Linked DNA regions of Rattus norvegicus. The protein of the gene in region 3 purifies or fractionates together with the protein of the main gene of each other region. This does not show direct contact. Links are inferred from orthologs where the notes say so. Each region holds a gene or a part of one and is shown on either strand. Other genes may lie near its edges.

Evidence for each region.
Region 1: the proteins of Cbx1 (region 3) and Smarca4 purify together in Homo sapiens (affinity purification with mass spectrometry; 3 studies listed by BioGRID and IntAct, with this or other methods). This does not show direct contact. The link is inferred for Rattus norvegicus from reciprocal best matches to the Homo sapiens genes CBX1 and SMARCA4.
Region 2: the proteins of Cbx1 (region 3) and Suv39h1 purify together in Homo sapiens (affinity purification with mass spectrometry; 3 studies listed by BioGRID and IntAct, with this or other methods). This does not show direct contact. The link is inferred for Rattus norvegicus from reciprocal best matches to the Homo sapiens genes CBX1 and SUV39H1.
Region 4: the proteins of Cbx1 (region 3) and Zfp644 purify together in Homo sapiens (affinity purification with mass spectrometry; 3 studies listed by BioGRID and IntAct, with this or other methods). This does not show direct contact. The link is inferred for Rattus norvegicus from reciprocal best matches to the Homo sapiens genes CBX1 and ZNF644.
Region 5: the proteins of Cbx1 (region 3) and Prr14 purify together in Homo sapiens (affinity purification with mass spectrometry; 3 studies listed by BioGRID and IntAct, counting the BioPlex papers as one, with this or other methods). This does not show direct contact. The link is inferred for Rattus norvegicus from reciprocal best matches to the Homo sapiens genes CBX1 and PRR14.
Region 6: the proteins of Cbx1 (region 3) and Adnp2 purify together in Homo sapiens (affinity purification with mass spectrometry; 5 studies listed by BioGRID and IntAct, with this or other methods). This does not show direct contact. The link is inferred for Rattus norvegicus from reciprocal best matches to the Homo sapiens genes CBX1 and ADNP2.
Region 7: the proteins of Cbx1 (region 3) and Adnp purify together in Homo sapiens (affinity purification with mass spectrometry; 6 studies listed by BioGRID and IntAct, with this or other methods). This does not show direct contact. The link is inferred for Rattus norvegicus from reciprocal best matches to the Homo sapiens genes CBX1 and ADNP.

Annotation. Positions count from the first base shown.
Region 1 is NC_086026.1:28,460,819-28,464,318, forward strand, and holds part of Smarca4 (transcription activator BRG1), read left to right. Parts: intron 1-1,376; coding exon 1,377-1,509; intron 1,510-2,203; coding exon 2,204-2,608; intron 2,609-2,872; coding exon 2,873-2,971; intron 2,972-3,500. UniProt on the Homo sapiens protein: ATPase involved in transcriptional activation and repression of select genes by chromatin remodeling (alteration of DNA-nucleosome topology).
Region 2 is NC_086039.1:17,103,059-17,106,442, reverse strand, and holds the end of Suv39h1 (histone-lysine N-methyltransferase SUV39H1), read right to left. Parts: intron 3,150-3,384; coding exon 3,003-3,149; intron 2,918-3,002; coding exon 2,788-2,917; exon of another isoform or gene 2,782-2,787; intron 2,057-2,781; coding exon 1,923-2,056; 3' UTR 501-1,922; downstream 1-500. UniProt on the Homo sapiens protein: Histone methyltransferase that specifically trimethylates 'Lys-9' of histone H3 using monomethylated H3 'Lys-9' as substrate. Also weakly methylates histone H1 (in vitro).
Region 3 is NC_086028.1:82,265,525-82,269,561, reverse strand, and holds the start of Cbx1 (chromobox protein homolog 1), read right to left. Parts: upstream 2,801-4,037; 5' UTR 2,580-2,800; exon of another isoform or gene 1-2,579. UniProt on the Homo sapiens protein: Component of heterochromatin. Recognizes and binds histone H3 tails methylated at 'Lys-9', leading to epigenetic repression. Interaction with lamin B receptor (LBR) can contribute to the association of the heterochromatin with the inner nuclear membrane.
Region 4 is NC_086032.1:3,248,684-3,252,983, reverse strand, and holds the start of Zfp644 (zinc finger protein 644), read right to left. Parts: upstream 2,801-4,300; 5' UTR 2,606-2,800; coding exon of another isoform or gene 2,508-2,605; exon of another isoform or gene 1,414-2,507; intron 1-1,413.
Region 5 is NC_086019.1:191,513,166-191,517,227, reverse strand, and holds the start of Prr14 (proline-rich protein 14), read right to left. Parts: upstream 2,801-4,062; 5' UTR 2,772-2,800; intron 2,748-2,771; exon of another isoform or gene 2,698-2,747; intron 1,994-2,697; 5' UTR 1,945-1,993; coding exon 1,922-1,944; intron 1,801-1,921; coding exon 1,632-1,800; intron 534-1,631; coding exon 412-533; intron 344-411; coding exon 154-343; intron 1-153. UniProt on the Homo sapiens protein: Functions in tethering peripheral heterochromatin to the nuclear lamina during interphase, possibly through the interaction with heterochromatin protein CBX5/HP1 alpha. Might play a role in reattaching heterochromatin to the nuclear lamina at mitotic exit.
Region 6 is NC_086036.1:75,868,839-75,872,890, reverse strand, and holds the start of Adnp2 (activity-dependent neuroprotector homeobox protein 2), read left to right. Parts: upstream 1-1,252; 5' UTR 1,253-1,349; coding exon of another isoform or gene 1,350-1,510; 5' UTR 1,511-1,514; exon of another isoform or gene 1,515-2,196; intron 2,197-3,068; exon of another isoform or gene 3,069-3,609; intron 3,610-4,052. UniProt on the Homo sapiens protein: May be involved in transcriptional regulation. May play a role in neuronal function; perhaps involved in protection of brain tissues from oxidative stress. May be involved in erythroid differentiation.
Region 7 is NC_086021.1:177,319,189-177,322,688, forward strand, and holds part of Adnp (activity-dependent neuroprotector homeobox protein), read right to left. Parts: intron 858-3,500; 5' UTR 853-857; coding exon 745-852; intron 1-744.

The DNA.
Region 1 (3,500 bases), on a different chromosome or scaffold from region 3:
TGGCCTACATACATGGAGAGTATTCAGTCTGCCAAGCAGCTCTCCTGTCCTGAGGCCTTGGTCTTCCTCTTAGGACTGGCTGGGAGTAATGTCAGCATTTGTCTGGGCCCACAGAGGCTGGGGTGTAAGAAGATGTAGTTGAAGACAGCAGGAGGGTTTACCATAGTGGCGCTGTCAGTTGCTCCTCTTCCCTGCAGGGTTGCTCCTGTGTTTGCTTCCTACCCCTGTAGGCTTCCTAGTTTAGGTTGTGTTCCCTATCCACAAATGAGGAAGGCGCTCCTTCACACGCCTCTCTCATTCCTCTGCCTGGGTTGTCCTTGTACTCTGCTTCTGAGACACCTCCATCTCTGGCTTCCCAGTTCCCGAACTATTCTGTCATCTTAGAGCACTTATCTTGCTCCTTTCTCCCTATAAAGGAAGCTCTGGGTCACATGTATGAGCCCACTGTCTGGTTTACAGGGTCCTCCATGTGCCACAAACTACATCTCTTTTCCCTGTGCTCCTTATCCTAGCATTGCTCACACATGCTACTGCCCATTGGACACCTACCATGTATCTAGAAATCTATGTCCTGGAGTCCTGGTGGGTAACACCTCACCGAACCTCTTCTACGCTGTAGGCAACCCTGTTGCTCAGCATAAACAATCTTGGGGAGCCTGCACAGAGTAGTGGCCCCACAGGAAGCTGCCCTCATGCCCCGTCTCAGCTTCCTTTGTTACAGCTATACTAAGTGTGGCTTTGGTATCACTCTCCTTCATCACATGCTGGCCTGTGAGTTTTTGCTGAGCACAGTGCTCGATAACCAGTCCTAGCTGACAGAAGGGTCTTAGGTATTAATCTCTCCCAGTGGCCGCGCTAGCCGTTTCCCTGGGAGGCATGCCTACTCCCACAGGTGCCATATGGCAGCATCCTGCTAACATTGTGCTGTCTCAGTGGTGGGACAGTTCTGCATCCTTCCTTCCTAAGCTGGCAGCTGCTGAGGCCTTGAGGACAGTGGGGAGTCTCACTGTAGTCCAGTCTAAATATGCAGCAGACCTTTTTGTAGTTTGCTTGATTTATAGTCTCCAAGGGTGAGGGCTTCAGCCCTAGGTTTGCAGCAAGTCTCCTTGGCACAAAGTGCAAGAGACCAGGACATCTTTCTTTGTGGTTCTCACTGGCTTGAAAGACAGCTCCATGCCTCCACTGCCTAAGTAGTTACCTTTTCCAGTAGCTTGGTTTTGTGTCTGTCCTGACACCCAGAAGGTGAGTGTGCCTCAGAGCTAGCCCTCTGGCCCCCTTGGGTGGACCTCTGTGGTCTTCTTTCTCAGCTTTGCCTCTTGAGCTTTGCGCAGCTGCCTCTTGTCCTTGGCTGACCTGTCTCCTTGTACATCTTACAGCCTATGGAGTCCATGCACGAGAAGGGCATGCCTGATGACCCACGATACAACCAAATGAAAGGGATGGGCATGCGATCAGGGGCCCACACAGGTATGGGACCTCCGCCTAGTCCCATGGACCAGCATTCTCAAGGTACAGTTTGGGCTGGTTTTTGTTTCATGTTCATGTGCCTGGAGCTCAGAATCTGCTTTCTTTAGTGGAGATTTCAAGGACAGCTAGTACAACTGAGCTATGGGTTGGCCTCCCTGGTGACGTGTGGCTAGTTCTCTATATAGCCCTCTTGCCTTGGAGCAGTCTCGAATACTGAACAGGTGGGACAGAAATGATTGGTTAGCATGTTGTTTGAGGTCAGGGATTAGCATGATGGAGCTGGGGCTAGCAACTCCAGTGGTGCCTTAGGCCACTGCTTTAGGCAAGATGGCTTTTCTACATGGGGATGATTGATACTGTAGATGACTTGTTGAGTCCCCCCGTCACTAGGGGCAGTAAGTAAGGTACTGGGTCCTAGGATTCATAGGAATGACAATGGAGAAGTTGACCTGGACAGAGGGCAGGCTTGATGGGGCCTGGTTTGCAGTTTTTACCTTTTGAATTGATTAACTGTACCCCACTGAAGCATGTATCCAAGCTCATTAGCTTGTGTCATGACCACATTAGCTGCTGGGCTGAGGCTCTCAGTCAGCCACCTACCTCTGGGTGCTTCTTGTTTGACTCAGGAGAATGATGTTGCCTAGTTACCTCTCCAGGGATGCCAGGTAATGTGATGTGATTTAGCTGTTATAGATGCATGCTGCTGAGTGACCACTGAACTAGTCTTTCCCTGCAGGTTACCCCTCACCCTTAGGTGGCTCTGAACATGCCTCCAGTCCTGTCCCGGCCAGCGGCCCATCTTCAGGCCCTCAGATGTCCTCTGGGCCAGGAGGGGCCCCACTAGATGGTTCTGACCCCCAGGCCTTGGGGCAGCAAAACAGAGGCCCAACCCCATTTAACCAGAACCAGCTGCATCAACTCAGAGCTCAGATAATGGCCTATAAGATGTTGGCCAGGGGCCAGCCATTGCCCGACCACCTGCAGATGGCCGTTCAAGGCAAGCGGCCGATGCCTGGAATGCAGCAGCAGATGCCAACACTACCTCCACCTTCAGTGTCTGCCACAGGACCTGGACCCGGCCCTGGCCCTGGCCCTGGCCCAGGTCCAGGACCAGCCCCTCCGAATTACAGTAGACCCCATGGTAAGACCTATATCCCTGCCGCTGGAGTGGGGAGAATGCTTAATGTGTATGATAATAGCAGGCAACCCTGGCTCCCAGCTAGTGGTACCTAGGACTGCTGTGATGGGTGGGGGGTGGGCGGTTATGTCTACCTAAATGCCATTTATTCATCACTCTGGCCAATAATTATTGTGGTGGGTGGGTATGTTCCCTGAGCTGATATGAGAGTAGGCCAGCAGCTTTGAACATAGTTGTATTTATGGTGCTTTCTTTCCTTTAATATAGGTATGGGAGGGCCCAACATGCCTCCTCCAGGACCCTCAGGTGTGCCCCCCGGGATGCCTGGTCAGCCTCCTGGAGGGCCTCCCAAGCCATGGCCTGAAGGTAAGTTTCTTTTCTATTGGTGACATGCTCTACTTCTTGTCATGAACCTGAACTATGCAGGACTCCAGAAGTTAGGCTACAGTTTTTTGTTTTGTTTTGTTTTTTTGTTTGTTTGTTCGTTCGTTTTGGGTTTTTTGTTTTGTTATTTTAAGATTTATTTATTTATCATATATTCGTCACTTCAGACACACCAGAAGAGGGCATCGGATCTCATTAAAGATGGTTGTTGTAAGTCCCCATGTGGTTGCTAGAATTTGAACTCAGGACCTCTGGAAGAGCAGTCCATGCTCTTAACCACTGAGCCATCTCTCCAGCCCTAGGCTACAGTTTTTCACCCTAGAAACCTCAGATTTTTCGGTGGAATTCTCTGGGGTTCAGCTGGGGTCCACAGGGTACTTCTTATCTTCCTTGTCCTATGGGTAGGAATCCTGCAGTCTCCTGCAGGGGATGTGTCTACTATGGGACTCAAGGTGATGGCTGGTTATAGCTGTGACTACAGGCAAGCTTACTCAGGATAAGGGGCTCCTGA
Region 2 (3,384 bases), on a different chromosome or scaffold from region 3:
TATCTGAGTGTGAATGCAGGGTCTAAGATCTGGGTTTTGAATGTCTTTTGTCATATGGTATAAGGCTGTTTGAGACTGTCACCTACAGAACAGAATCTCTGAGCACAACACAAGCAGTGGATCACATGATAAAACCAAACATGAGGCAGTGTGTTTAGCATATATAGTTGCTCAGTAAATATTGGCAGAAAAATTTTGTGTAGTATTTCCTTTTCAAATGCACCAGGTAGGCTTTAAGTTGAAAATTTACTAAGGGCCCAGCTTGAATTTAGCATATTGAACTCCACTTTATCTATTTCTTCAGGTAGTTATTTTTGTTTGTGGCAACTAATAAATTTAGAAAAGGCTGGACTATTTGTTCAAGTGTTTAGACCACTTTATAAGGGGCCCCAAGTAGGAAGATCATGACAGTCAGATGACTCAAGCCTCTCTGACCACATTCTAGAGCAACCCCAGTTAACCTCTCTCACTTCCTAGTTATCAAGACCTCAACTCTCATATCTCCAGCTTATTAATTCAACAACAAAGTTTATTGGTGTGCACTCCAGGCTAGAGAGGGCTGAGGAGGGTACACAGAAAACCAGATTCAGTCCATGCCTGAAGGTCAGCCTGGGGAGTGTGGGCAGGACACATATATACAAAATACACACACAGACCTGGCATCTGGTAGCAGGGTACAGAGTTTCACAAAGGGGTACTCTGGGTATAGGAACTCAGGAAAAGCTTCCTGGAGGTGGGGAAGCAGGGGACAAGGCAGCCATCAGAATCTTTGCCTTTTGTACAACTCTAGGCAGTTAACTTTGAGACAAGTGGACCCAGGTGAATACTTGGAGCTGACAAGTATTTTAGGCCTAGACATTGCCTTCTGTCACATGGGCTTTTTCCTGGGCTCCACCTCTGTGGTTTTCAAGGCTTCCCTGAGACAATCCATATGGACCAGGTGCTCTACCAAGTGCCTGGCATCACATCACCTTCTAATCGATGCACGTTATTGTCTTTTTAAGTGCTTTCTACAGAATACCTAGATCTTGGTTCCAGCTTCTAATTCTAGTGGCCATCAAATGCCATGGCTGGGTTTCCAGTAAGCCCAGCACTCTACTTCCTGATGGTAAAACTTAGTTCTAACCCTTCTGAGGGGCTTTCAAAGAGGTATTTACTTCATTCCCATTCTGATGGGATTTGGGCAACTACTTTTCAGACCTGCAACTCTCTTTGCAACCCTATGCGTCTTAAGGTTAGTATTAGCCAGCATTAAAAGCACAATGAGCAGAATCAGCCTTTCTGGAGATTGCCTTTTCTTTCATGAGTACAAAGGCCCCGTGGTTGCTGATCCAGTTTGATGTTGGGCTGGTATCTCAGCTCTGATGTCTGTCTGCCTAGGGGTTGCTTCCTCATAGAGCAGTGAAGAGGCCTGCAACAGGTCACTCGGGCTCAGAGCTGAAGCAGATACAATTAGAAAATTAGCAGATACAATTAGCTGGGTTTACACCTATAATTTCATCATGAGGAAAGCTGAGACAGGAGGATTAAAGGTCCAACGCCAGCCTGAACTAACTACATAGAGCTGCAGAGAAAAAAATCTGCTTTGGGGCTGAGTTGCTCAGTCTTTTCAGTCTTTGGACCTCCATTGACATGAATTCCAAATCTAGGGAATCCTGATGTGAAAAATATGCTTCTGAAAATGGGGCTGGGAGTTTTAAGTGCAATGCCTGATGGGCCTGGATAGGGGAAAGGAACAGGGAAAGGGTACCGGGAGTTAGTCCTCACAACAGCCCTGACCCTGGAGCAGGTTGGGGCAGGTGAGGACAAGTGGAGGCAGACAAGGCTCTGATTGATGGTCATTCTTGACAAGAGGGTAGCAGTAGAGAAGAGGAAGGTGGCTTCAGGCCCCTTCAGTTAGTCTGGCCTCAGACTTCTCAGGGCTAGAAGAGGTATTTTCGGCAAGCTGTTGTCCCACATTTGCATTCAATACGGACCCGTTTCTTGGGGGAGCCGGGGAGCCCTGCCAGGCCAAAGTTGGAGTCCATTCGGGTACTCTCCATGTCCACGGGGTCCACTGTGAAGTCACAGCCAGGGAAGGGGGGTTGTTAGAAGGCCTGCATGAATGGTCCTGCTACCCCTTATATCAGAAGACCCAGGGATCTTGAGGTTTGGAGCAGGTCTGAGATTTGAGTTAGGAGAGGATCTTTGGGATGGTGGATTGGGGTTAGAACTAGAGCACAACACTAGAGGGGTTTGTTCATGAGTGGCTTTGAGGGATGTCTGGCGAGGACGAAGGCTGACATGGAAACAGAAGTGTCACGTCAGGCAGGGTTGCGGAATAGAGGTCAACCTGGGCATTAAAAAGGTACCTGAACTCTTGCCCACTATCTGCCAAGTGTCTCAGAGATGACTAGTTTAGTCAAGAAGAGGTCAGGCTAGAAACCGCAAGGGTATCCAGAGGCTCAGAACAAGTAAGGTGAAGGAGGATTAGAGTCAGGAGGGGTAGGGGAATTCATTCAAGACGGAAGTGAGGTATGCCTTAACACTTCAGCCAAACATCCTCTCCCACAAGTACTACTGAAAGAAGGTGGCATAAGTGTATCAGGTTTGGGGTTCAGGGGGCACAAATATGGGAACCCATAAGCCATGGGCAGGGTCCAAAAGGAGGCTGGAAATCAGGAAGAACATCTTAAAACTCCAGCAAAAGAATTTCCTTTGGTCTACTCTGACCCATATATGCCTTGGGGTGGGGTCCTCACATCCCCATGTCACTGCCCCTGCCCCTGGGGCCCTTACCACCCCCACCTTGCATGTTGTAATCAAAGGTGAGCTCCTCGCCCGCCCAGATGGTTCTTGTGGCAAAGAATGCGATGCGGGGTAGTCGCTCATCAAGGTTGTCTATGAATACGTTGTACACCTGCAGGTTGGGATCACACTGGGCAAGAAAGAACAGTGGGAAGGTAAGGAGGAGCCCTGGCCTGCCCCTCCCAACCCCCTGCCCGCTTGCTGGAGGCACCCACACTATGGTTGACAAAGTGAGAGATGTTGCCATAATAGGCGGCATCCACGGTATATACGTCCTCCACGTAGTCCAGGTCAAAGAGGTAGGTGGCGCCCTGGCGGTCGTAGATCTGGCCCCTCCGCTCTGCCTCCTCTGAGGTAATAATCTGAAGAAGGGGGGTAAGATTTGGTCATGAAGGTTCAGGAAAGCCAGCCCCAACTAGATGTTGACCTGGCCTCTGGGAAGAGAACAGTGAACAGGAGCGATGCAGAGGGCTGCCCACCACCCACCCCTTCTCCAGCTGAGATGGCAGGAGCTATCTTGCTTCCAATGGTAGGGGGAGAGGTGACTTCAAGGTGCAGTTTGTGAAAGGAAGTAAGGACCTCCACTTTCTGTTCACT
Region 3 (4,037 bases):
TACCCTTCCAGAGGTCCTGAGTTCAAATCCCAGCAACCACATGGTGGCTCACAACCATCTGTAATGAGATCTGATGCCCTTTTCTGGTGTGTCTGAGGACATAGACAGTGTAATTAATATGTAACAAATAAATCTTAAAAAAATTGAAACTGTCAGCTAGGTATGATGGCGCACACCTATCTCAGTTCAGGGGCTGTAGAGAGAGATGGCTCAGTGGTTAAGAGCACTGACTGCGGGGCTGGGGATTTAGCTCAGTGGTAGAGCGCTTACCTAGGAAGTGCAAGGCCCTGGGTTTGGTCCCCAGATCCGGAAAAAAAGCAAAAAAAAAAAAAAAAAAAAAAAAAAAGCACTGACTGCTCTTTCAGAGGTCCTGAATTCAAATCCCAGCAACCACATGGTGGCTCACAACCATCTGTTATGAGATCTGATGCCCTCTTCAGCTACAGTGTACTTATATATAATGAATTTAAAAAAAAAAAAAAGATGATAAAATCCAAACATACCAACTTCTAGGTCCAGTCCTCAAAGTTGGAAAATGGGGGTATCAGGCTGATTCAACAGGTAAAGGTCCCACAACCCTAATGACCTGAGTTCAATCACTAGAACAAGTGTTACAGAAGAGAATGACCCCCACCCCCAAAGTTGTTCCTGATCTCCATAAGTATGTCATGGAACACCCGCCCCCACTTTTCAAAACTAAGGGAAGCTGAAGAGATGGCTCAGCAATTAAGAGTTCTCCCAGAGGTCCTGAGTTCAATTCCCAGCAACCATATAGAGGCTCACAACCATCTGTAATGAGATCTGATGCTCTCTGCTGGTGTGTCTGAAGACAGGGACAGTGTACTCATATACATAAAATAAAAAAAAAATAAAAAAAAGTGACTAGATAGAAAATTAGAAATGCTTTCACTGCCCAAATCTTTTAAGGAACATATGACTCTTTTCCCTAGGCCTTGAACTTCTGCTGCTCCTGCCTCTACCCCCCAAATGCTGGCTGTACTCACAGATAACTGGGCTCTTTTCAACACACCACCTCCCATATATGCCTAGAGAGCATCCAAGGAAGAGCACAGGCACCAATATCCTGATTATAGTCATACATCTATCAGAAAACCTTAGATCTTTTGATTAACACAAAACTGGAGAGGACACTATATTCTAGTGTAACTAGTATATAATATATATAACTAGTATATAATTTTTAAGACTTTTTATGGCACTGAAACATAACTCAGTGGTAGACAACTTGCATGTGTGCAAGGTCCTCAGTACCAAATACCGAAATGAGTTCCATATTTCTTTCTTTCTTTTTTTTTTTTTTTTTTTTGGTTCTTTTTTTTTCGGAGCTGGGGACCGAACCCAGGGCCTTGCGCTTCCTAGGTAAGCGCTCTACCACTGAGCTAAATCCCCAGCCCCGAGTTCCATATTTCATATACTGTGTTTCAGTATAAAACTATTTTCGATGCCTGTGGGCATGCAGGACCTGCTTTCTTTGGTCCCTGCCATACCCCACTTGTCAATCAGAGGACAATTTTGTGAAGTCAACTCTTTCTTTCCACCTTTACCTGGATCCTAAGAGTTAAATTGAGGCTTACACAGCAAGAACCTTTTTTATCTGATGAGTCTTGCCTCATACAGCCTCCCTACTCACAATAAAGACCTATTAAAGGCAGAAAGTGGCCTTTTCACCCTTGACTCCTCTGGTAGCCAAGGAAGGCCTTAAATTTCCGATCCACCGGTTTCCAGCTCCCAAGTGCTAAGATTACAGGTACAGGCCATCACACCCAGCCTAATTTATGGGATACTGGGGATTGAATCCAGGGGTTTGCGGCAGGGTAGGCAAACATTCTACCAACTAAGCTACACACCCCCAAGTACCCCTTTTTTCTTCCACATTTGACATGGACACGTTAGACTTCTACCCTACTTACCCCAGCAACTCCACTTTTAGACAAGGTCAAGAAAATGTCTGACCCTTCACCCCAAGACAGGTTCAACAAATCTCTTCCCCGTTAGCACACCCGGAGCAGCCCACGTCCAATTTTACTGGAAATTACTTTTTCATAACTCTGGCAAGAGAAATTTCTCTGATAGTGGCAATTGAACCCAATATCCTCAGGTTTCTTTTTCTTTCCTCCAAGTGCTAAGGGGATTGCCCGCGATTGCCACCGTGTCCACTCTCTCAGGTTACACTTCTAAACCTTTAGTGTACGAAGTCGTGATCCTTGCCACGCACACCCAAAGTACCAAGCCTGTCTCCTTATGGACGTCCCAAAGTTTTCTTCCTTCTCCCGCCCAACTCCAGAGTTGCTGAGCCGGGTCAAACGCTCCTCGTCTAGTTCTTGAAAAGCTAACCCTCCGATGGCTCCGCTCCTCAGGAACCACTCCGCGCCCGGACTCTGGATTCACTGCCCCGCCCTCTCCACGCTCCCGCAGACCGCGAGCTCTGCGCGGGAAACCGACCGGTCGGGCGCTGGGCCGCGTCCCCAGCTCCTGTCTCCACTCTTCCGTTAGCGGCCCGCGCTCGCCCGCGGCCTCCCGCCGTCGCTCCCCCTCCCGCTTCCAGCCCGCCTCTTCACCTCGTAGCAGCGCCCGACAGTCCGAGAGGAATCGGTGTCGCGCTTCTTGCGCGTTGCGTCAGGCGGTCCCAGGGAGTAGCACCCAGAGGAGCAAACAGCCGTGTGGCCTCAAGTCGGTCGTCCAGATGAAGCGGCGTACCGCAGGCCCGGCCAACGGCCCTCCCCTCAGCCGAACAAAAGAGATTCTCACTCTGCGCGGCCCGCCGCCTGCACTGCGCAGACGCGACGACCCGCCGCAGGGCAACTTGGGATTCAGAGTCGGCCCGAAACTACAAATCCCAGAGTGCCGCGAATCCCGCGCCGCCCACCTCCACTTTCAGGAGTTGTAGAGTTTTCTTTGTAGTTTCTTTTTTTTAACTTTCTGGAAAGGCGAAGTCGACTGTTTTGAACACATAACTCTACAGCCTAGAAAATTACTGGGTAATGGTGGGGTTTGTTTGTTTAATAACAGGGTACGTAGCCCAGCTGGCTTCGGAAGTTGTGGCCTTTCAATTGCTTCAAACCTCAGAGTGCTGGATTTCAGGGGCATGCTAGTACTCCTTGCTCAGTCTACAAAATTAGGACACGGGGGTTTGGAAACTAACACGTTGATGTTTGGTCACTCTGCACTTAAAAGAAAAATCTTATCATATTCGTTACCTGAGATTTATCAAATCTCCACCTTCAATAATGTCCAGCAAGCTTATCTATTATTGCCACCTAGAAGAGGTTCCTACCTCACAGTTTGAATCAGTATTCCGTTCAGAAAGTTAAACCTCTAGGTAGACACCATCGCCACTTTCTTAATTTTCTTTTTTTCTCTCCCCCTCCTTTTTTCTTGTTTCACTTTAGTTGTTTTTGTTGAGTGGACAGGGTCTCAAGGAAGCACTTAAACGCCTGATCTTCCTGCTTCCACTTCCCAAATGCGGAGATTACAGACATGTGCCACCACATGCAAAACTTTCCCTTTGTTGTCCTTGCCAGTGGGCGACTTTCATGGTGATTTCTTCATCTCCATGAACAAACTTTATCAAACTAGAGAAACAGAACTAAGCAAAAGGCACGACTGTCATTCTTTAACAAGTGCACTAGTTGTGATTCAGGTAGGTTGCTGCTGCTAATTGTTGGGCTGGGAACTCCAGTAAGGACAGAAGACTCATTGTATCCGCCACACTCAGTAAAGTCCTGTGCTTATTGCTAGCATGCATACGGTCATGCTTTGACTCTCAGTATTTATTGGTAAAAATTCATTGATAGTCGGTTTAAGTGAATATATGAGATGTCCAACAGATAATAGAACTGATCAAATTTTCCAAGACCTCTTGTACTAGTACTCAGGATTAAGGCAGGAGGATTGTTGTGAGTTTAAGAGAGGCTTAGGCTATGTAAGGAGTACCAGGCCAGCCTAGGTTATAGAATGAGAGCATGTCTCAAAAAACCAAAACAAGGACAACTTTCCTGTTCAAAAAACTTAAGACA
Region 4 (4,300 bases), on a different chromosome or scaffold from region 3:
GCAGAGCACTCTACAGACTCAGACTGGACAACTCAACAACACGCCACGTCTCTCCTGTGTGGCTGGTGCACTTAGCAAGCACGCCTTTTCCTCCCAGAGTCACTTTGTGAGAAGAGTCCAGACTGCTAATCCTACACAATAACGACGTGTTTGACATGATAGACCTTCCACCATTTTGTATCTCTCAAGCTTTTCTTCTTGCTACCCAAACTCTCCAAGAACTTGAACAAACTGAAAAACCTGGGAGGCAATTAAGGCATGCAGGTGACACTGACTTTATAATTACAAATAACCTCAAAGTAACCCTAATTAGCACAAGACTAAGTGTAATTAAATATACTCAGTGTTGAAACTGAACTAGCCTTTCGACTGAACTCTTAGAAAAAGAGACAGTAAATTAAAAGCACTTTAAATGACCCACACAAGCCTCACAACAAGCAGCACTGTGCACTCCACTGTGCCTGATCTCACCACTTGTTGCATTTCCTAAGACTTGTACTAGCAGCAGCTGGTCTTAAAAGTCACTTAAAGAGCCTGAGAGGCGTCAAAACGACATTACAGAGTGAGAGACACCAGCATGGCTCCTAACACCGATTACATCCCTTGGCCTTCTCTAGCAGTAACAGCGGTTATCTCCAACTCCCCACATTAGTTGTCAAGCACGGTTTTTGTTTTTAATTTTTGCTTTTCTGGGTCATGTCAGGGTTGGAAAGTTCTCAAAAATCCATACATAAGCAACACTACTACAAAATTACATAACATTAACTGTTTTGTCTCAGAAAGTCTCACTGAAGACGCTTTAATTAACGGGGATCATCAGTAATGTCCCATTACCAGGTGCTAACAAAACTATGACAAGGGCAGGAGCTAGCGACCGTGTCCCACCACATCACCAACTTAATACGTGGCTAAGGCAAGGCCTAGGAACAGTAGCTCTTTCAACGGTCTTCTGTAAAACTGTATGATCCAGGGAACACACCTGACTGTGAGCGTAGCTCCTGCCTGCTAATACAACACTGTTCTCTGTTTGAAAGGAAGCTAAGAAAGGGAAAATGCATCCCAGGAAAGAAACAAGTAAGCTAAAGTTTTAATGTTAAAAATTTCAAAGACCTAAAGGTATTTTACTATTCCTTCACGTACTTATATTGATGGCACACGCAAGGACCAACTCCTTTGGAATTCACACCAGTATTAGTTACTTCCAATACAACACATGATGCAAATACAGTATTAAAGTATTCAACAGCAACATGCAAACCACTTCGTTAGAACCAGTCAAGCACTCAGGTTTCACCAATCTAAAAGTCTACACTGAGTTATAACTTCACTGTAGAATCTACCTTTCTCTCTTACCAAACCTACCCGAGATAAGGCACAGCTGTATTGCTGACACCTAGTTCCCTGGATACTTACACATGGCCCTGAAGCACGTTTTCTCGATCTGGGTAACTTTATAGTTGCTTGAGTTCTGAAATACTTTCCTTCGTGGGGCCAAAATTAACTAAACTACAACACGATTAAGGCAAATCCAAGCACATGTCCCAGATGCAGTAAACTTGGCATCAGTTGGGGCTGGCCCCAACAGATGATAGTGTTTGGGGTACTTCTGTGGAAATTAACTTGTGCACAGAACAGGACCATCATCATTTCAGGGCCACAAGCCGTGGGTATCCCCTCGTTGAGTTTAATCACATAATATTTGAAATCTAATATGAAAGTTTTATAACTACATTTAAGTCAGTATTAAACAGTTGAAGAAAACTTTTCCACTAATGTCGCTAAACCATGGATGGATCCCAACACGAGAGTCGTCTGTGGAAGTCTCGAAACAAGAAACCACCTAAGTTTCCAATCACGGGGAAGGGTCTGGGGCAACTCATCTTCATGTTCTCGGGAGGAGTGGATGGAGCACACCTGCTTTCCTCTGGCAGAGATTAAGCTCCCAGGGACACAAAGGCCAGGGAATCAGACCTGGAGAGGCAAAAAGCTTTAGCTAGATACCCACCAAGCCCCTTGGCCACCCAAACACTTCGCGTGATTTTTTTCCTTTTTTTTTTTCCTTTTTTTTTTTTTTTCCTTTTTGTACCTCTTGGAGTTACTTCCCAGGCACTTAGCGGCACAAGATGTTGCAGACCAGTGGGAAGAAGGGGAAAGCTATGTGCTCTGGTCCCAAAGTCAGGGGAGGGGTGTGGACAGTTAGCCCCAGAGTCGGGGCTGCAGGCCAGGACGGAGCAGCCGCACACCGGGCGCCGGCTGACTGCTGTCGGGCCGCCCCGTTACTCGGAGCGTTACAATGGCGACCGCAAGGCTCCCCAGGACCTCCAGATCGCGGCTCCCTTCCCCCTACCGCTCACTGGCTGCTCCGCTACATGTGACTAAACAAAACCCCCCAAGTCCAGAGCCCGGCTCGGCCCCTTTGTGTCCGCCACCGGATCCTCCGCCGCCGGAGCGGAAAGGCCCCCCCGCCCGCCACCGAGTCCCGCCCCGCGGCGGCCGCCGCCGCTCACCTAAGGTTCCGCGGCCCCCCGCGACCGCCGCCTCCCGGACCCCGCGACCCGGGCTTCTTCTGCAGCAGCAACTCCGCCTCCTCGGCAACCGCCGCCATCTTAGCCTGTGCGGCAAAACGCGTCCTTTCGGAGGGTTGGGAGCCAGCCTAGGGCGTAGCTCCCCGGGCCCGAGCGCCGCGGGCCGGGTTCCCCCACAACTTCTTCCGCCACCCTCAGTCCCGCCACCGCCTCAGCCCGGACGTCCGAAATGCAGCCGGGGCCCGGGCTAATCCAACCAAAATAAGACCCCCGAAACTCACAGTTTGGTGCCGTGTGCGTCAAACCGGGGCGACGTTGGGAGCGCGCGGCGTCCCCGCGTCACACGCCGCTCTGTACGCTACTCGGCTCCAACGGCCCCCTCCGCTCCCCGCTTCTCGCCTCCGGCCTCGGTTCCCACGGCGCAGGCGCGCGGCTTTCCCGCCTCTGCCTGGCCGCCGGCCGCCGTGGGAGGCCAGCGAGGCGCGCCCGTGCGCTGGGGCAGCCGGAGCTCCCGTGCCAATCAGACCCACGGGGGGCGCGGCAGAAACAGCGCACCGCTGCTCTCCCGTGCCAAAACCAAACAAGGTCACCTCCCCCAGCGGTGACCTAACCACTCCCGAGGAGGTTCCCGCCCCAAAGTAGGCACGCTCCAAATATGGTGGCAACCAAACTCTGCAAGACCCAAGTACCAGGAATGCCTAGGCCCTTTAAGGTGGAATAGGCCCATCTCTGGTGTCTGCAATCGCTAGTTTGCCAAAATCCCGTTTCTTTTCCTACTGTTGAAAGAATCAGCAACATATATACCAGGCCTACCTTGGCGTACTGGCACAGACAGGTTTTCTGAGGTTAAACAGCATCAGGTGTAGAAACTCTCAGTCAAGACACCCAGAAAGAAGCCCTAGATTTGGGTTCTGAGGGCTCTGCGAGGGCAGTTTCTGCACTGAGGAACATGCCTTGATGGTCCAAATTGGAGTCATGCAAAGAGACGTCTGAAATGCTGGTTAACTCTTCAAGTAATCAATAGATTTCCCCAGAGGGTCTTCTAAATCCCCCTTTTAACAAGCGTTCAGCCATAGGCTTCTGAGGGAAATGGCGCACTAATTAGAGGTATTCGCTTTGCTTTTGAACCGAGTCAACAAGTTCCTAACCTGTTGAAGGTGAACTAAACGTTCTAGAATACTCTAATGGGCCTGCCTTACAAAATTCTTTGGTTTGACTGAACTTTTTTCCCATGAAGAACTTTAAAAGTTCCCACTAGTTAAGCAACAATCATGAACTGCGTACCTCCGTGCCCTTCAAGATATCATTAACATCCAGAGGGATAAGCCATAATTGCATTTATTTGACAAGAACGAGGGTGTCTTTCCTGGAAAATGGTGCCTTCGGCAGCAGCAAAAAAAAGATCCAAAAACCGGATATTTTACTATCCACTCTAATTATTTCACTCGCTGATAACTGCGGACACTGGAGTGCTTGCTGTCTGTGCATCCATCAGGCATTCTTGTAGCCTGTGTGTGCAAGTTCATTACGACCTAAAGTGGCGAAGAGAGATTAGACTGTTTTCTCACAACCGCACAACTGTTGGGCTGTTTCGAAATGTAAGCTTGCCTTCATACACACGAATAGATACACAACATATAAACTCGTGTCTATTTTCGGCCAACTGCTTGGGAGGGATGTACCATAGAGACTTTATTTTTATCTCATGAATATGGGTTTTGCTTGAACGTGTGGCTGGGCACCACGTGCTTCATGCCTGGTACAGTGGAGTCCAA
Region 5 (4,062 bases), on a different chromosome or scaffold from region 3:
CTAGGCCACCCAAGTCTATATATTGAGACCTTGTCTCCACAAAACAAACAAACAAACAAACAAAAACAGTTGTCTTGGCCTTTACAGAAATCCACCCCCAGCCCCAAGCTTGCCCTAGCTGGACCCAGATGTCTTCACTGTACTTTCTTATACCTCAACTGGTTGTCTGGCACTGGCAATGTCTTTCAGTACCACCACCAGGGTGGGCTGGGGGACCTGGTCTGTCTTTTGTGAAGGGCTCTCCTCTGGGCCGGGGGCCATCCTTGATCTCATCCTCGAGGTGGGTGAGGACTGGCGGATACGACTCAAGGGTTCTCTGCACAAATGCAGTGGGTCAGGAGGCCTAGAGAAAGAACGAGGTCAGTGGGCTCAACTATCTTCTTGGTTTATCCCCTTCCCTTTCACACTTGCCTGGCTTCCAAGGACCACTTGACCTGGTGGGATGGTAAAGTGGGTGACTGAGTGCAGACAGAATCCTGCTGATGGTTGTGATTCAGTAGGCTGGGGACGTCTGCTTTGTGTGCCAGGGGAACCTACAGGAGGAAGAGCTGTTAGAAGCAAGCAAAACTGGGTTCACTGCTATAATCCCAGCATTTGTAAGGCCAACACAAGAGGATTGCTGAGTTCTAGGTCAGCTTGGGCTAAAAGGTGAGACCCTGTCTCAGTAAAACAAAACAACAACAAAAACTAGAATGGCTGGACAGGGTCTTCTGTGTCTCACTATGTCCTTAGCCACAAAGGTGAGAGAGATTTTAGCTAGAATACACTCAGATTCATAGAGGAGATGATTTGGTCTTAATTAAGGGTGAGATGTTAGTCAGGATCTACAGGTGTAGAAAGTAATCTACTCTTCTCCCCAGGCTCTGGAGAGACATAAAAGACAGCGTCATTTTCCTCATCTCTGCCTTGTGGCCAAAGGCACCACAGCATGATTCCCAAGAGGACAGAGAAGTGGCAATTTTGGATTTTTGGTTTCTTTAAAAAAAAAAACATACACAAATATTTTGTTTTTGTTTTAATCCCAGGTGTGGAATATGGGGCTGCTTTAGATTGTCCACAGCCGCTCACTATGGTTTGCCTCCAGCAGGGATGTAATTTTGTCAGCTGCAGATAGTTTCTGCAGTTGTGTGACATTTGGAATTCTGGGGACTTTCAGAGGACATATAAATGCTAATGCCCCCAGGAGTGGGTGGGCTGTTTGTTGACTGGATGTTTGTTATTGTTCACAGGAAGAAATTAGGTATCCTGATGGCGAAGATCAAACTTGCCCCGAGGAACTCAACACCTCTAATCAGCAGAAAGTAGTCTACCCCTGCCTTTATTCCGGGATCTCTTTCTTTCCTCTCTATCCTTTTTCTCTTTTATCTAGTGTCAGGGGGTTGGTAGGATGGAAGAAAGAACCCAAAAGAGAACTATAACAGCGTAGTCAGAAGAGTTTTTCATACTCAGTAGGATGCAGTTGGTGGAAGGGGTGATTGGATGGACACACGAATTCCCCCAAACCATGAAGTCTTGCATTACGGAGGCTGCTTTGAAGGCTGGTTTAATGGAGCAGGTCTGACTTGAGTGCTAAGCCAGGGCAGGGATGGAGGATAGGGAAGGGGGAGTGGTCTTTCACTTAAAGGGCTCACCCTGTTTGTAGCCATGACATCTTCTAGCACCACGGCCAGGACCCTCCGAGAGGCCTTTTCCAGGGATGAAGGGCTCCCCAAAGGCTGCAGCCTCGGTCTTTTCGGGCTCCTGGCTTCCCATAATGCTCGAGCTAGAGGCTGACGGCACAGGCTTGGCTGTGTAGAAGGGCTGGAGGGTGAGAGAAGTAGAAGACAGTTGCCGGAACCTGTTGTTGGCTCTTGTGATCGGGTACAGCCGTCAGCATCCCGGTCTCCCGAGCTCAAGTCAGGCGGGCGGGGTACGCTCTCACCTGGAGTCCCCAGGCAAATCCATGGGGGAAGCGGCGGTTCCGGGGAGTCCCTGGGGGATCCCAGGCTGAGGCCTGGGGTAAGTTGGGGAGCGAGGGAGTGGGGAGTGAGAGCCAGCTCCTCCCCCGGGACTCCGCCCTTCATAGTCCGCCTGCGGCTCCCGGCAGGGCACAGGCCCTTCCTCCAAGGGCGCCCCCGACCGGCCGCTCAGAGCCGGGTCCTCCCGTTGCAGCCGCCTTGATCACTCGGGCCCTGCCTGGCACCTGCCGCGAGACTGGATTGCGGAGGTTACAGCTCTCCACAGGTCGAGCCTCCTGGGACCTTTGTCCCTGTAGATGCCTCCCTGAGGTTCTCTGGGATCCGGTGGGATCCCGGTCCTGAGAGGCTTCCGTTTCCGCTAGATTCCTGTGTGGTCCTTGCCCCACCAAGCAAGAGCTCCAAAAGAATCACTCCACATACTAACAGCCCTCCCTCCTACCAGATCGCCTAAATTGGATCTCTGAGGAAAGAATCCTACTGCACGGTTCTTCCAATCAGAAGCCGCGCGACTCCCCTCCTCCCACTGTGAGCTTCGGCTTAACGAAGTTCCCCGGGGGGAGGCCTAAACTCATCACCGAACTCAGTCCGGATCCTGGGGTATAAACTGTCAAACTGGTAGACCATTCACTCCAGTCCCAGAAGGTCCAGCCCACCGGTAACATCCCACCCCAAACCCCCGCCCTACTTGGATCCCCGCCCCGCGTTCTCGGGCGCCCCGGACCAGTTAGTTGGCTCAAACCTTTTCTTCGCCCGCCTCCCTGCCCTCTCTCCAGCCCGGTCCCCCCCACCCCTCCCCTCCCCCGCGTCGCTCACCGCAGCTTTCCAAGGATCCGGGGTTTTCAACAGCTCCCACCTCCGGCTTCTTTAAAGCCAGCCTTACACAGCGCTGTCCAACCGTCAGAGGCCTTTTTCTCTGTGTCTTAGGCACCGCCCAATCACCGGTCCCGGTCTTCCGGGGTTAGGAGAAACTACGTGAAATCTCCTGCCGGCCATACTACCTAGGGGCAAAGAAGCTAAATTGGTACTGCACCGCCATTATAATTGAGGGCAGCCCGGTTTTAGCTCTAATCGACCGAAAAACACTATGCCAGGTTTCTTGATATATCTGGACAAGTGTAGGGAAGCTAAAGTTTCTCTACCTAACGTATTTTTTTCTTGTTCCTACGCCAGTGAATATCGATTAAATGCTCAGGACTTGGTAATTTCCCATTCTCTTAGGTTAGGTTCCTCAGGATTGAGGCTACGGGGGTCGGGATGGCAGGACGGAAAATCTGAAGATCCCAAGCCTGATGTGGCCTCTAGCTTCCTGTTCAGTTTCTGGAGAGACTGGGAATAGCTTAAGTGGTGAGACGGCTGGGTGCGGTGAGCTTTATTCACTAGCGTTTCTCCTTCCTCCTTTCTTCCTAGGTAGTGTCTGCAGGCCACTCAGAAGGCGACCAATAGAACCAACCTGGGGTTGCTCCGTGGCGCGGGTTCAGTGTCTTTCCTGTTCTGGGCTGAAGTATCTCTTGGAAGAGGAGCATCCTCTGCAGGGTGTCAGGTAGTCTTTAGGAACTGAGTAATAAGGAGTAGAATTCTAATGCTTGGAGAGCCGGCACCAATGGACCCTTTGTTAGGAGCTGGACTGTGGTGTGGAGGAAGTCATTTACTGGCATTTTGCACACGGTGCACTGTGAATGTGCACCTAACTGAGGCTCCTAACTTCCCTAGAATTATCTGTCATCCCTCCCCTTCTCTCTTTGTGTTGATGTTGGTATGTAGAGGCCAGAAACCATTGGTGGGTGTCTTCCTCAATCGCTCTTTTTAAAGAAAAAAAAAAATTACTTTTTAAAAAAGTATGTTTTTTCAGATCTTTGTGAGTTTGAGGTCAGCCTGGTGTACAGACTTAGTTCCAGGACAGCCAAGAACCCTGTCTCCAAAAACAAAACAAAAACCAAACCAAACAAACAATAAAACAAGTATGTTTGTTGCCGAGTGGTGGTGGGATAAACCTTTAATCCCAGCACTCAGGAAGCAGAGACAGGTGAATCTCTGAGTTCAAAGCCAGCCTAGTCTACAGAGCTAGTTCTAGGACAGCACAGGCTACACAAAGAAACTCTGTCTG
Region 6 (4,052 bases), on a different chromosome or scaffold from region 3:
TGGGAAGAAGTGCGATGAGACATTTGTGCGCATGTCAGTCTGTATGACGGGAAGCTGAAAGACTGACTTCATTTCACCCACGATTTCTCCGCGGAGATGGGTGGGTAGGAACATCACGCTCACTTGCTGCTGTAATTTCACAATCAAATTAAACTACCACTTATGAACAAATAGGATAGGCCGGCTCTATTTCAGTTATGACTTGTCTTCATGTAGGAAATAAAAGCAGGTTGTGGTCAGTATCATCAGCCCAACATTGGACACGCTTAAAACTGATGTGGCCACTTATCGAGTGCCTATTATCTCTAGTAACTAGGCCAAACTGAACAGAAGGCAGACTAGAAAATGGTGCAATCGAGGCAGGAGGATAAAGGTTTCCGACTGGGCAGAGCAAACGTGGTGCATACCACCAGCCTGGGGAGAACCTAGAACCTAGATGGCGGTTGATGGGAGCCCAAGTCTTGGTTTGGTTGTATGGACATGACCTTCTGAATGGAGAGTTGATGAGGACAGGGGTTGTCAGACTGGGAAATCTCTGGGATCCATAAGGGGCGGGGATAGAAGACAGGCCTGTTAAAAGGACTGCAAAGCATTTTAAGAGAGAGTTTCTATTTGTCTTCTCCAAAAGTTTCTGCTGAGCCTCTTGCTGCATCTAGAGCAGGCAGGCTTTCTGTAGGAGGGGCTTGGTCTTTCCATGGATGGAGACTCAAAAACAATTTGAAAGCTCCTTCTCCATGTACAATCCAACTTGAGAAATATTCCACCATTATGCAAATACATGCAATTAAGTCTCTTGTTACACAGTGTGGTATGGATGTAACTTTAATTCTCAAAATTCTCAAAAGGTGTGACACAAATTTTCTTAAGAAGAATGATGAGTCAGGAGATCCTATCCCGTTGGCTCACCAAGATATGTCAATCATAGGCACACTGGTCCAAGTTCCTAGAGTTTCTAAGTCCTATCCTCCAATGGCAAGCCAGTATCCTCAGGGCTGGCTTCTTATTGGTTTGTAGGTATGGGCGGGGCCACCCACTAGGCTCCCACTGGCTCCACCCCCATTCCATGCAAAAGAGGGCAGAGCTCTGGTGAACCCATGTGATTGGTCATGTGGTCGAGGACGGATCGCCCCACCCCTTCAATGACGTCACCACCAACCCAAACTATCTCGAGAGCTAGCCCAGAGGTGGAGAGGGCTCTAGACCCAGGGGGTCCAGGGGAGGGGGCTGCGGCAGGCCCCACCCCCTCCAGATCCTCGAGGCCCGCGGGGTCCAGGGGCCTGGAGGGGCCCGTGAGATGAGCCCAGGGGGTCCCCAGGCACACTCTACACCCATTGGCTGGCCTCGTCGGCATGCAAATAAGGCAACGTCACTTCCTGAGGCAGCTGAGCGCCATCTTCTCTTTCTGGCGCGCGGGAGGAGGGACGGGCGCGGGGCGGGGGTCCCGCCGCGTAGGCGGAGGACGCGGCGGTGTTGCGACGGCGGCGGGACGCGGCGCTCCTCGCGCCCCGTGGTAGGTACGGTCAGCCCGGCCTGCGCCGTCCCCGATCCTCCCCGCGACCCACCCGCCGTCCACTCCTGGGTCCGCCCCGACGTCCCCACCGCTGTCCGCTGCGCTGTCCCCACTGTGGCCTGCCGCGCCGTCGCTACCACGGTGCCTTCGGAATCCCGGACATTCTAGTGCGCGGCTCGGGTCCCCTCCGCGCCCGCTCGCGGGTCACGTGGGAGCGGGGCCGTTCTGGGGAGGGGGAAGGGCGGGGACAGGGGACGGGGAGAACAGAGGAGAGGACTGGGCAGGGAAGGGGGACCTGCGGAGCCCGGGCACCGGGAACAGAGGCCGGGATGGATGGGGAGAGGGGGCGGGGCAGGGACGGGACGCCGGGCGTGGCGAGTGAGAGTGGTTGGGAGCGAAGGGAGGGTGGGCGAGGACGCTACTGGGAGGCGCGGAGAGACTCCGCGGTAGCGGGCATGGCGCCCCTCTGCGGCGACCCGGGAATCAAGCTGAAGCCTGACGATCAGTCCGTTGGCGAGGATGGCGGGATGCAGGGCAGGATTGTGGCCACGTCTGAAGCGCCGAGTTTTCTTGAAGGAGAAGCTGATCTCAGGCACTGCCGAGGGCAAAGCCCTGCCCCTTCATCCAAGATGCTGCGGCATTCGTGACTGATACGCAGATGCTGAGTGTAAAATTTAACTTTGCATCTGCCATTTTAGAGGGATTAAAATAGGTTTTATTCGCACAGTTTCTACAAAGGTTTGATTTGACGTAGTGTATTGTAAGCAGCACATAAGTTTTGTAACTATGCTTGACTTTGAACCAAAACTCGTTTGAGTGCTCAAAGTTAATGCGCTTAGGATGAGTGATCACTCCATACAGGTAACCAACCTGCAGTATACATTAGTACCGTCGTAACCTTCGCCTCAAGGGTTTTACTAGTTCGGGGCTTGGACTGGTCTAGTCTGATGTGGGAACAAGGGACAGCATGTGTAAGAAGTTATGGTAAGTGCGATGTTAAGCTCTGGTTGGAAGTCATGCATATCGCCTAGAGATGTCACAGGTGGTGGTGATGTTGGCCCCATAACGATGTCTTGGGTAGATGGAGGCCCTGGTCAGAAAATAGCGTTGACACAGTGATCCTTAGGTAGAGGTCCTTAAGCACAGATTTGTACTTAGGATAGGCAGGAAATGAAGTCATTTCAGGCTATTTTAGGCATCTCGTTGAGAAATGGGAGGAAGAGAGGTCTGGATCATTGGCTTTAGGGGATAAAAGTTAATGTAGTTTTTAGCTTGAGGTTTTGGGATTTGACGATATCTTTTTCATTTGAAATCAAGCTTTCAATGTACTGTTGCTTCATTGGTGGTCCCCTATACTCTGGGAAGGTAGGGCTTAGCTTTTCCACACCGCACCCAAATCCTTTGTCTGTTGCTAACCTGCTAGTTAGAGAAAGCAGATTGATGACGGTCAGGTGGCTAGAAAGGGGTTTTCCTGTGGGTTGAGGCAGACTTTCTGAATCACAGTGTTTGGAAGTTGCTAAAAGAAAGTCCTAATAATGGTTGGGGCATCTTACGGAGGTTTTTTTTTTAATATTTTATTTATTTATTATATATGAGTACACTGTAGCTGTCTTCAGACACACCAGAAGAGGGCATCAGATCTCATTACAGGTGGTTGTGAACCACCATGTGGTTGCTGGGATTTGAACTCAGGAACCTCGGGAAGAGCAGTCGGTGCTCTTAACCACTGAGCCATCTTTCCAGCCGCCCTCACTGAGTTTTTGATTTAGATTTTACTAATATGATGATTATGTGTAGGGCGTTACCAGTGCTGTCAACTGCTCTTGAAGTAAATTCCTTGCATTGCTTCACAGATGCAGGCAGCTGAGGCCCAGAGAGACTAGGTGGTTAGCTAGATTTTCCCAGCTATGAAGTGTTTGAGTTGGTCTCATCCAGGAAAAAGCTCCAGGACCTGTGTGCTGTGTGACCCTTGCTGTGTTGGCACCCAAGATAAACGCGTTTTAAAAATCAGATTTTGTTGGGCATGGTGGCAGATGCCTTCAATCCCAGCACTCAGGAGGCAGAGGCAGGTGGATCTTGGAGTTTGAGGCCAGTTTGGTCTGCAGAGTGAGTTCCAGGATCACCAGGGCTGTCTTGAAAAACCAAAAACCAACCAACCAACCAACCAACCAACCAAACCAAACCAAACCAAGACCCAGATTGTCTAGGAACTAAGATTTTCTGTGTCCTAAAGGGATTATCATCTGATCATCTTTCAAAATGTGAAGTATGTGTGTGCCTGTATGCTGTGTGCCCATGAGGGGAGGTGCTTGTAGAGGGGGGAAGACCAGGTCAGTCAACAAACGAGCTCTGGTGCTGGGAACTAGACCTGGGCTCTTTCCAAGAGCATGGGCTTAAACATTGAGCCGTGGCCCCAGTCATGTACATTTCTTTCCGACTGCCTAAGTGTGAACAAGGACAACAACAGACATCCTTAAGTGGATGGTGGGAGGTGGGGGGACAGGACATAAGGCTGCTACAGGTCACTAAGGGAGTGGAAGAC
Region 7 (3,500 bases), on a different chromosome or scaffold from region 3:
ATTTGTTTTGTGCTGAGCATTGTGCCAGGTAGGTAGTGGGAGATAAATGGCTAACCAAGGCCAACTGTGGCCCGGTCAGTAGGAACTTAAAAGCGTGTCAGGGAAATAGCTGTAAGCACGTCAATGGGAGGTTGTGTCTAACTAACCGTAAGATTGGGAACAAGGAGATCTGGAAAAGGAGGAGACGCCTCTATCTAGCCTACGGGGCTTCGAAGGCTCAGAATAAAAAGGATAGCAAACAGTCTGGAAAGGCCAAACTGTTACACAGGGCAAGATAAGTCTTTGACAGTTCAGAAGGCTGACAAATGCTCAAATCCTGAGGAAAGAGATGACACACACTCAGACACCTGTGCCAACAGTCAGGTCAACAGAAACACTCAGGCTTGTCAGAAGGAAAACAGGCTCTGCAGCCCCAATTCCTCTTTCATAGACTGGAGATAAGAATTCCTAGAGCCCCCTAAAGGTTATTCAAGGACAAAGCTCATATATAATTTTAAAGCACCTCGTGCACTGTCTGACTTGTATATATTCTCCGTGCTGTAACTAGTTTTGCCTCAGGTTACAAAGATGATTAGGTTTTTGGGAAAACGATGTAAGCTATCCTAAGTGAGAAGGTTACGTACGGAGAAGCTGAAGGTCTAGTTAAAATTTACTACCACACCTAACAGTGAACCTTTGCCCATGGACACAGTGATGGATCAGAAGCTGAGTCACATTAAAATTTAAAAATGGCATGCTACTTACTTCTATATGTTCTTTACAGTATTCCAACCCAATGTCACTAAGTATTTTTTTCACAGTTTTCCGGGCTTTTCTTAAACTGCCAAGATTGTTGACAGGAAGTTGGAACATAGTTTCTATTGGAAAAAAAAATTTAAGTCAAGTCAAAACATGTACAACTTGTAAAAGTTACTACTTCCACTGATGACAGGATCCCAAACCCTGGCTCCCTCAGTTGAGAATCCCTTGCCTAGCACAGAACACTTGAGTTGAAGGCAAAAAGGTGAGTGCTTGGTGGCCTTCCCTCTCTATTTTACAAGAGGACATTTTAGACCACAAGTCTAGGCACACAAGTCTCAGTAAGCTGTAAAAATCTGTTCAGAGATGAATTTGAAGTTGGAAAATGAAAGCACCAATATCAATCAGCTATCTCAAAACCAAATCAAGTGCGCACGTCTCCTCTTGATGTTGGACCAAAGAAGCTGGGACCACTCCGAACTTACAGCACTGCTCGCTCGCTCAGCTTTCAGTGATGAGGGGATGAGTTTGCCATCTGAAATGTCCCGATCAAGGCAATGACACTCACAGAAGCAACATGTCATTCAGTGACTGTTTCTGTCTCCTCCTCAAACCAAAGTCCCAGATGGTAGTGGGACTGGCTCCTTGAGTAGCAACCAGGGCAAAGGCCTCACAAAGGCCTCACGTAGGCCACAGAATAAACACATAGATGGAAAAGCCATGCTTGTGGCACCAGAAGATACAGCAATTGCTGTAGTCTTTCTGGGATCCTTAAAAAAGTATAATGCCTGTGAGCGCGCGCACTTGTGCTTAAAGGAACCAAAAGCTGCCTGGCTGTCCCACATTCACTAAAGGTAAAATGTAGATCCATTTCCCAAGTTTCTTAAAAACCAAGGCACTTACGTTTATTTAAGAAAACTGAATTAGTAAAATTTAAGGTGAGATTTTTAAGGCTTTGAATGTGACTTTTTTTATAATAATCTAAATCCAACATAATTTCGCAGAATAAAGTAGCTCTAAGACCAGAGCCACAAAAAACAAAACGAACAAACTGACCCCAAAGCACCAGCAACTGGGATCTCATAAACCTGCACTCTAACTGTAAACCATCACCCTTACTGACAGCAAGCCTCAATCTGGGGATGCTGCCCTAAGACCCAGGTCCCAGAACACCCCATTATGAAATACCAACTTAGCTGGGTCTCCCAACACCAAAATGTTCACTGAAAACTCAGCACTTCCCAGCCTTATATCATTCTCTCGATAAACTTCTATGAGCTTAAGACCAGGGCGGACAGTGCTCTCTCCCCAGAAGGAGCAACATAACCATCTCTTCCTTCATACTCTCTGGTCTTTACACCAAACCAAGCAAGAAGGTTTCAATAAAACACCAGTCGGTGTCAGAATTAATACACATGACCTCCACCTCTTCCTCGGGCCACTACCTACCTGTTAAAGCACTTAGGGGGGTCAGGCTGGGCTAGGCCATAGCACATTTAGAATCCCAGCACTCAGGAGGATCATGAGCTGATGGCACCTCTACCCTAAATGGCAGAAGTCATGCACAGCTGATACCTTGGCTCAGAAATGTAGTTCAAGTCAGTGACTAGCTCCAGGATTTACCATTGTCACCCATCCAGGTTTTTTGCCTAAGTTTTAAAGAGCCACCCCAACCTCCCCAATAGCCTCAAAACCATGTTGAACTAGAAACCTCAACAAACAGACCATATTTTGAAAACAAAGACAACACCCTGCAGTGCAGAGGGAGGGCGGGCTGGGTGTACTTTCCTCAAATCCATCCTTGGGTCAGCAATCTCCCCTGCCAGCCTCTGTTCCTTATGATGGCAGTTTCTTACAGGTTCTTGCCCAGGAAAACCTCCTTTCACATGGCACAAACAGGGCCAAGTGTCCAACTTAATGGACCTGTCCTCTTGTTCATCAATCACTTCCAAGACACCTAAGCCTTGTAGGTCACAGTGCTGGGAACACATAGGAGGTCCTTGGGCAACACATTTCACACAAAGCTTGCTTGTTCATCAGCTTTGGGTGGAAACCACTCCTGCCACAAATGATGTGCAGTCTGTCAGTGAGGACTCGGATGAGCAACAGGTTTCACCTCCCTTGGCAGATACTGATCAGTACACAAAACTGTTTATGTGCTCAAAACATGGCTGTCAGGTGTGCTGGAAAGCAGAGAGGGAAAGAGGCTTGAGGCAGCATTCTCCTCACTGTGTCCACATCCTTTTCTAGACACAAGCACAGGTGCTCAAGCTTTGTTGCACCAAAAAGTCTTTGTAGAAATAATGGGCAGCAGGACACACAAAAGAAGCGAGTCAAATGAAATTGGGACTGATTAGAAAGAAGTCTGTCAAAAATATTCAGTAATTCTACAAAACCTCCCGGCCCTGACAACCACAACTAAAACACTACAGTCAATTGCTAAATTCTAAAATAATTTTGGGGGCAGGCCAATTAGCTCAGCTGGTTAAGAAATGTGGTGCTAATAGAATAATTTTGGGAATGTTCAATCCATGTGTTTTATTCACAGCTATGTAATAACTGGAAAAGCTAAACAGTATAAGGCAGGCTGACCCTCAGAGAGTCCCACCAGCCTTTACTTTGTCTCTGCTTCCTGAGAGCTGGAGTAAAGGCATGTGTTACCAATTCTGGCTTTTGAGACTGTCTTAAAAATCCATTTGGAATGAGTGAGTCCTACCCTTTCTCAATCTCACTCACACCTGGAGAGTAGAACAGGAGCATCA